Caenorhabditis elegans: one gene and its partner. The protein of the gene in region 1 interacts with the protein of each later gene in a pairwise test. Each region holds a gene or a part of one and is shown on either strand. Other genes may lie near its edges. The genes, in order: abhd-3.2 and F25D1.5.

Evidence for each region.
Region 2: the proteins of abhd-3.2 (region 1) and F25D1.5 interact in a two-hybrid assay, tested with the Caenorhabditis elegans proteins (one large-scale study listed by BioGRID).

Annotation. Positions count from the first base shown.
Region 1 is NC_003284.9:974,936-980,149, reverse strand, and holds abhd-3.2 (Protein abhd-3.2), read left to right. Parts: upstream 1-2,141; 5' UTR 2,142-2,147; coding exon 2,148-2,225; intron 2,226-2,271; coding exon 2,272-2,438; intron 2,439-2,878; coding exon 2,879-3,208; intron 3,209-3,258; coding exon 3,259-3,432; coding exon of another isoform or gene 3,433-3,436; intron 3,437-3,720; coding exon 3,721-3,868; intron 3,869-3,916; coding exon 3,917-3,983; intron 3,984-4,246; coding exon 4,247-4,410; 3' UTR 4,411-4,625; downstream 4,626-5,214.
Region 2 is NC_003283.11:10,545,135-10,548,767, forward strand, and holds F25D1.5 (DeHydrogenases, Short chain), read right to left. Parts: upstream 1,650-3,633; 5' UTR 1,619-1,649; coding exon 1,349-1,618; intron 1,306-1,348; coding exon 1,117-1,305; intron 1,070-1,116; coding exon 695-1,069; 3' UTR 609-694; downstream 1-608. Other genes in the region: degt-1 (Acid-sensing ion channel 1), read left to right, coding at 115-206, 353-444, 487-608; srd-34 (Serpentine receptor class delta-34), read right to left, coding at 2,464-2,666, 2,716-2,873, 2,920-3,119, 3,172-3,318, 3,365-3,461, 3,509-3,546.

The DNA of each region.
Region 1 (5,214 bases):
GTAAACTTTTGTCAGTGCTAGTGTGAATATTGGTCAGTGCAATCAAAACGTGATGTGAACTTTTGTCAGTGCTAGTGTGAATATTGGTCAGTGCAATAAAACGTAATGTGATATTTTGTCAGTGCAACACATAGTGTTGAACATGGTTTAGCTCGAATCCCTACTGTATTGTGCAATCTTAAACTGATCATAATTTGGCTCAGTGCATTTGGTACAATTTGGAAATTTGAATTTCGAAATAAACAACAATTTTTATAAATGAAATGCAGTAAAATCTGTTACAGCAGATTAAAATTGTAAGAATGAAGTTCTCTGCATGTTTTTATTATTGCATCAACCAAAGTGGTCTATTGAAATACTTTTGGGTTTTTGAAGTGGAACGGCAAAAACAGATGACGAATGTTCTTCATAAGAGGGAAAACGACAGATTTTCTCATTTCAAGACGAACTATTGATTGTTAATGATTACTAGAGTTTTTTGCAAGCTGAATAAAGAACTCGAAACTACAATCTATAATATCTGAAGATTTGCCAAAGGAAAACTGTACGAAATGCAGACTGAAAGTTTGTTGAAGCCGCAATCTTTGTGGCAATCATTGAAAGTGGATTCGAAAGAAAGGAATTCGATGACAAACATCTTCTGTTCTGATGTGATGTGAGCGATATGTACTTTTGTTGTTAAAATGAAAAATGAAATACAGCTATTCTTCAACAAAGTCCCAGTAAATTGGCAAATTAGAATTCTTATATTTTCGTTGGAATATGTACCCTGAACGTGAACTTTAAATACAGATTACAATAGTTTGTTATTTCAGCTTGAAAACTTTAGTGGAATAGAAATGATATACTAATACAATTAACTGACAAAACATATGTAGTTTGATAAAACATTTGTGAGTATGTAGTGGCATATGCTACAAATTTATTTGCCGTTTGCCGAATCTACTTCTCGCCAAATTTGCTGCACACATGAACAATTTTAAATAAAAATTGTATCCAAAACTAATGGTTTCGATAAGATACTTGATGAAAGAAAATATAGCATCGTGTTTTTTTTTTCATTTTTATTCAAGAAATGCGCATTTGGCCGCGCTCGGCAAATTAGGCAAAATTTCACAGTTTTAATTTTATTTTTACAATTTTAGAGTATTTTGATTACTTTGAAGACCTGCAAAATGTTTTCAAATGAAGTTTTTGCCAACTTTCAATGTTTTAGATTTTTTTAAAAGTTTTACAAAAAAATTTCCAAAATGTTTTCTGATTGCAAATACACAAATTTCGTATGTAGTGACAAATGCAAAAAATAGATCGAACATATTTCACAGCTCTGTAGTTCAAGGATGGATTAATTAAAATTCAGTTACAGATTTTGTGAACATTTGTTTTGAAAAATCCTTTTTCCATTCAAAAGAGTTTTTGGTATTTCGTGTACTTTTAAACTTCTAAGCAGCTGTATAATAATATCTTTTGAACTCATATTTTTATAGTAAAATGTTCGTTGCCCTCCGGTTATTTTTTCTGTCTATCATTACCAAAAAACCAAAAAATTTTCAACTTTGTTCTCGCCGCAGAAAAAAACGCTTTCACTAAAACTGGCCTGATCTGTCAAAAAAATTGCGATGACTCTTATCAGACAAAAACCTTGAGTTTTTTCGGTGATAACAAGGCATTTTTAGTACAAAACGGCACTGTTATCAGATCTTCAAGTACATGCAAAGCTGATTAATGTTGCACCGCTCGTTCTATGAACTTTTCTTATCGAAACCATTAACTTTTGCGCCATCAATTTCATTGAAAATTATTGAATTGTGAATTGGTAGCGAAAAAAGTTGGTTTTTCTCTGTTCGGAAAGGTTTTTGGTTTTCTGTTCAGTTTTTTTTTTCATAATTTAACATTTCTCAAAGATTTAACTTTTTAACTTCTTTTTTCTGTTTACCTTTATTAATAGAGCATTTTCGGCTTACCAACCAAAATATGCACCCAGGAAACAATTTTTCCAAAATGTTTCAGCAGTCTTAGGTTTGATGCAATCAAAAAAATTTGCTAAAGTATACATTTTTTAGAGTCTTTTGCTTTTTCTTGCACCATAACTGCGCAATTTTGCTTTAAATTTTTATAAAATCAGTTTTTTACTTTTTCAGCTCAATATGGTTCTGCCATTGATTTTGACTTTGGTGATAGTTGCTCCGATATTTTTATGGATGTATTCCTGGTACATTTCAGCAGTACGTTTCATATTGTAAATATCCCGTTAAGAGAATAAGATTGCAGATACCGAAGCACTATGTTAAGCCTGGTACCAAGCTTCAAAAGAAGGTTCATTCGAATTTAAGGATTTTGGAGCAAAAGTACCATCCTAGTTGGTGGTGCCCCTTTGGCACGACTCAAACCGTAGTACGACAGATATTCCGGGATTGTCCATCGCTACCATTTACAAGGTTTGTTCAATTTTAAGTGTTAAGTATATATTTTGTATTTAATATACCGTAATTTGTTTACTAGTTTTGAGATATTCAGTTGGAGTTCAGAACTTCAAAAATTGAATTTATATAGGACGTAAGGGTGTGAAAATTCAGTACAAAAATGTGTTGTCTAGTCGATTGAACCGAGCTTAAAACACACGTCTTATCTAGAAACAAATGTGATAGTCATTTCTGTGGAGTCTAGTGCTTAGAAACAGTTTAGTTCAATTGAGCAAAAATTTGAATAGCTGAATCGATTTAGAATCTAGTTGGTTCAACTGGTATATTTACAGTTAATAGCCAAAACAACAATAATTGAAAATCTTAACTATGTATTGTTTCATAGATTCATAAACTTGATGTACGTTAATTCATATCAAAACGGAGACGCTGTCATTTCATCAAACTATTTCCAGAGAAATAGTAGAGTTCGACGATGGTGGTGCAGCTGGAATAGACTGGTTGATCCCTGAAGGTGCTGATGACACCACCCCAATTGTCGTTTTCTTGCCGGGAATCACAGGAAGTACTCATGACAGCAGCTACGTTCTCCATCCTGTCAAAGAAGCAAGAGATAAGGGCTGGAAGTGTGTGGTCGTGAACCCACGAGGACTTGGTGGTGTTAAGCTGAGAACTACTAGGACGTACAATGCCGCCACTCCACATGATTTTGCGTTCATTGCTAAGATGATTAATGAAAGATATCCGGATGCAAAGAAGCTGGGATGCGGGTTTTCCATGGGAGGGTGAGTGTAGTTTAGGAGCTAAAAAGATTCAGCAACACGCTTATTTTCAGAATGATTCTCTGGAACTATCTAGCGATGACTGGAGAAAATGCAGATCTGGACGGAGGCATGATTGTTTCTTCTCCGTGGGATCCCCTTGTTGCTTCTGATTCTATTGAATGCTTTATTCCACAACTTATTTTCAACAGCTTTATTGCAAAGAACTTGGTAGATATGGTGAGACCGTAAGTTTTGATGTTTTTTCGTTTATATTAGTAAGGTGTTTATTTTTAATATTTTAAATCTGATGACTTTTAAACAACAAACGTAGTTGGTATAAAAAATTGGCATTGAGAAAATTTGAGGAGACATGAGCAGGCCCTGTGCTCAAAGAGCTGGCAAGCTTCTCATTAAGTGATTGGTTTTTGCGCGTTAATTTGAAGCAATTCCTTTACGCCCAAATTTTTAGTATTTCCTGCTAAGCTATTAATGAACCAAACCCCTGAGTTCATAAGTAGCTCCCACAATTCCAGGTACCGCGAGCTATTCAAAGATATGGTGGATTTTGACGAAGTGTGCAGATGCAATACGGTTAGAGGGTTTGATCGATCTTTTGTGATTCCCATGTATGGGTTCAAGAGTTGCGATGACTATTACAGACAGGCTACTTTGGCGACAAAGGTAACATTTGAAACTTGGTTTGTAAAAATTTGAAAAATCAATTTCCAGGTAGACAAAATCAAGATTCCATGTGTAACACTGAATTCTGTTGATGATTATTTCAGCCCGGTGGAATGTAAGTTTTGGTTTGAACAGCTTTGAAAACTAATGTTCATATACAAACATGAGTGCTTGCTACGTTTCTCTAGTTCATAATTAGACGTGTTTGCTCTACGGTAATAACAGCAACCGACACATTGCGGGTTGCAAAAAATTATAAAACGTGTGGAATTTTTATGAAATATATATTAAATATGTAATTGAAAAGCTAGTTTTCTAATTACATTTTTTAAACAAAATACCAAATTTAATAATTATTCATACATTTCCCCTATTTAGGCATCCCTACATTAGATATAATGGAGAGCGACTACGTTTGCGGTATTATCACCAATCACGGAGGACATACTGCTTTCATGGAGTCTGCTGATCCAAATGCGCGCGGAATGGTGGAAAAGTTGCTCTCGCAATGGGGAAATATGATCTTCCATGATTATTCATGAGCTTTGATGGATTGTGCAATGTTTTCAAATTATACGTATTATTTTTGTATTATTAGGACTATTACACTTTTTGAACAATATCAGGTTTTTCAGTACATCCCGGTTTTTTATTATTATTGTGATTTTAATTTAATTTTTTAAATGTGCAAAGAGTTAATGGTTGCAGATATGACTAGATGAAACTCTTTTTTTGTCAAATAAAAACTTCAAACACGAATTGAAAATAGTGTAAAATTAATATTTGGCTGCAGTTTCATGTGAACGAAAAATTGTGTTATGTCCTTCAAATTAGAACCAGCCACCTTGCATTGAATAGTCATAAATCTGTGAAGTTTGCGTTAAGCTGGAGCTTTGGTAAAACCCTACCATAAGTACAGGGAACAATTTTGAAAAGCTCTGATACGAGTTAATTATTTTAGTACCAGCCGTGGACCGCACCTACGGCGCGGCCCCCGACTTTTTTGAGAAAACACATTAGATATACGGTGTCTATCGCGGACCTCGATCGATGTCTGCTGCGCATTTAGCATAAGGTTTCCCAAAATTTCGTTGCTCTGATCGGAGATCAAACTACATAGGGACAGAAGGACACGCGCTTTATATATAGTAAATGATAATTGTTGTCCTAGTACATCACGCATACGGATAATAATTCTTATACATATTTCATAGACTTTTGTTCAGGACCAAGTTAGTATAATGAAAAATTGGAGAAGATTCAGTTTTCTTCAGATTTTCTCCGACAGAATGCAAATTCTCCTGCTCTACTTCTGCTCCACTTTTCCACTTTTTCCATCTTTCCTC
Region 2 (3,633 bases), on another chromosome or scaffold:
GTAACAAAATGTAATACATAGAAGATCAACGGGGAAAATCGAATAATACATAAAATAAGAAAATATTTCAAAGTTTAAAAATCAAGATCTGATTTTAATTTCTATATTTTAAAGAAAACTCGATTCATCCGTGGCGAATGGCTTTCAAGACTTCGAAACCAAGTTTTGATGGCCCAGTCATATTCTCCAACTCCTCAATATGATGTGTAAGTCTTTTAAGCGTAATCTGAGTTGTGAGTAGGGTGAGCTCAGTGATGGCAAACGACGCCGCCGTGACGTCTTGTTCTAATTGAGTGTATGCGTGCAAATAAACATTAAACTTGGTACTTTCAACGGAACAAACTTTTTTCAGAGTAAATCTTCTTCACATCAAGTTCTATTTTGCACACTTTAAACAAGAGACTATTCTTCAAGAAAGATCCTACAACTTATTTTTACTTCTTGGTGAGTTTTACTCGATGTGCTTGTAACTTTGAAAGTTTTCAGCCGAAATTGGAGGAACCATTGGATTATATGTTGGAGCAACACTTCTAACTGCAGCAGAAACTCTTGTTTTTCTTTGTGAACGAAAGAAAAGTAATATATTCCTAAAACCACAATTTATATAAAAGTATTCAATGTATTTTATTGTGTATTTTACGACTATTACATTAGATAACAATGGTTAACAAAATCTGAAAAAAAAAGTTATAGTTTACTGACTAAGAACGGACATAAGATCATGTGTTTGCATTCCCATAACAAGAGTTGATCCTCCATCAGCAACAATCGATTGTCCAATAATGTAAGATGAGAGGTTTCTATCAGCCAGGAATACAATGATATTGGCAATTTCTTCTGGCTTTCCACAATGCCCAACAGGAATGCATTCTTTCCGTGAGCCAATAAAACTGTAAAGCTTGTCAGATGCAGTTTCTGGTAAACCCATCGCTCCCATGAAACCAGTGGCAACTGCTCCAGGGCTGACAGAATTTACGCGGACACCATGTTGAATAAGATCGATTGCAGTGCATCTGGTGTATTGGTCAAGCGCAGCTTTTGCGCAAGCATAATATGGATATCCAGAGTGCTGAAAATTAAAACAAAAGTTCTGAAATCCTCTCTCCCGAAGCTTACTGCTTGTGGGCCAGCAACGATACTGGAAACATTTACAATCTCTCCTTTTGTCTTTATCAAATGTTCCTTTGTTTTCTGAGTCATTTCGATCACAGCTTGGAAGTTTAACTTGAATGTTTTCTGATACAACTCCACTGGTTGATCCGTATTAGCTGTTCCGTCAGCTAAATTGGCACCAGCATTATTAACCTAAAACAATTGAGTATATTTCATTTTCTATCTATGTACATACCAAGATATCAATTTTTCCGAATTTAGCAAGAGTCGTGTTGATGATATCATCTTGTCCTGATGCTTCGGTAACATCAGCAACCACGGCATTAATCTTCTCAGCTGGAACTCCTGCTTTCAATATTTGCTGTTTGGTTTCTTCTAGGCGATCTTCATTTCTTCCAGTAATTGTAACTTGAGCTCCTTCCTTTGCAAAAATCACAGCAGCCGATCTTCCGATTCCATTAGAAGAACCAGTTATAATGACAGACTTTCCAGAAAAGCGAGCCATTATTTTGAGATTACAAAAATAAAATGTCAATCAGATGAATGTGATGTTTAAATGCAGTTTAATGTTTTCTTTTTATACTCATTGCAGTTAAAATTATTTCATGGTTGAATGGAAGTTTGTAGTTTCCGTGACTAAAATATGAAATATCTGTTTACGTAGAGAGTATTTTCAAAGTTACTTCCCGAAGAGACCATAGACAGTGTAACAATTTTTGTGACTGTTAATTCCTCTGCGTCTCTTTGAATTGTGTCTATTTTTGTGCAAGCACAGTTGAGGGAAGATCAATTGATCAAGTTTTCAATATGAAAACACAACTATGATTTCAGGAATTTTAAAATTTTATTTGCTTAAAAAAAAAATAATTTCCGTGTCCAATAGTCTTGCACCCATCTCTCCATCTTTAGCTGCTTATTTTTCGGTTGTTTTTTTAATTTTGTCAGACATTCGCCAACTAGCAAAATATAAACAATAAGCTTTTTCTTAGGGCTTTAATAACACATTTCTAGTATCGTTAAAACGTAGTGCGACACTAGACGTCAAAATGAATTAATTTGGTGAGGAAATACGGTGAATAGTCTCTCTAGATCCAAAAACTTGTTTAACAATAATTGTTTGAGAGCTTTGGCACTTTATTTTAAAGTGTAATGTTGAACTGTAAATATTTTTTCATCGTTATTTTTATTTGCAGATCTTCGAACAATGTTTTTCATTTGTCGGTATTTTTTATTACTGTTATAAAAGTGCTTGTGTAATATCTTTGAACAATGTTATTTTATTCAATTGAGCAAAGTTCCGATTACTACTCCGATTAGTCCACCACTATCATTACCAATTATTCAAAATGCTCAAAAAATGGAAACAGCCGAAATATTGTTACGTCTAACAATTGCAGGTGAAACTTTTTTGCCACAAAACGTATCCTTGAAAAACGCAATAAAGGCTTTTTGGTACGGTGTGATGGTGACAATAACAATGAACGCATCAATAGCTGTTGGAAGAGAAAGCATCATATATAGAACTTTTTCAAAATTTGAGAGAAACGGCAAGTCTGAAAATTGTCACATATTATTTTACTGTAAAAACGGACAGGAGCCTACCATAATTCTCAAGTATTAAGTGAGCTATGTATATAGGAATCACACAAACTGCAGGGACAAGTGTCTGAATCGTCAAAGCAAGATCAAACTTCTTGGCTTGAGCAGCAGTTTTATCAGTAAATAAATGTTTTAAACTGTTGAGTTTAATTTGTATTAGTCTGGAAACACATTGGTAAGTATTTCTTCGAAACTCAAATTTATTACCTAATAAACACAATACTCATGATTGGTGGGACGAAAATGCTTATCATATTCAAATTTGTTGCTAACCAGCTCCAAAAATGTTTTTGATATCCAGTGATATCCGCATAGTACCGGAAATCATATTGTGTTGAATGAAACTTCCTGGTCTCTGAAGCAACCTCAAGAGATTCGTCTGGTTCGTACGTTATCACATAGATCACCTAGAAACATTCATATTTCCATTCTAGATCAATCACGAAAAGCAAAACTCACCCCCACAATTAAAGATAGAAGGTAAGAGCTTAAAAGAATCATTCTGATTTGATTTTTAGTTATGTTTTTCATATTAATATTTGTTACTTTTGTATATTTGTAAAACAATGTAGCAGGAATTGCAAAGGACGAGGCATCAAAGACTAACTGAATTTTGAATATTTGTAAAAAATAACAATTACAGGACACTTACCTGGAAAAAATCAAAACTGAAAAAGCAAGCATTTTTATGAGTGTGTCTACAAAACCCGCTAAAAAGATATGCTGACGATTCTGGATTGTTCACAGGTCTGAAGGAACAGTGTTAGCTAAAAATTAATATTATCGTACAACTAACCTGACTTGTGTGAAGACAACTATTATGCACATGAAAAACTGTAAAGTTGAAGAATTGACAAGAAAGACACGAAAATCTTTGAATACTACGGGCGTTTTAAAAACAACTAAAAGCACGACGGAAGT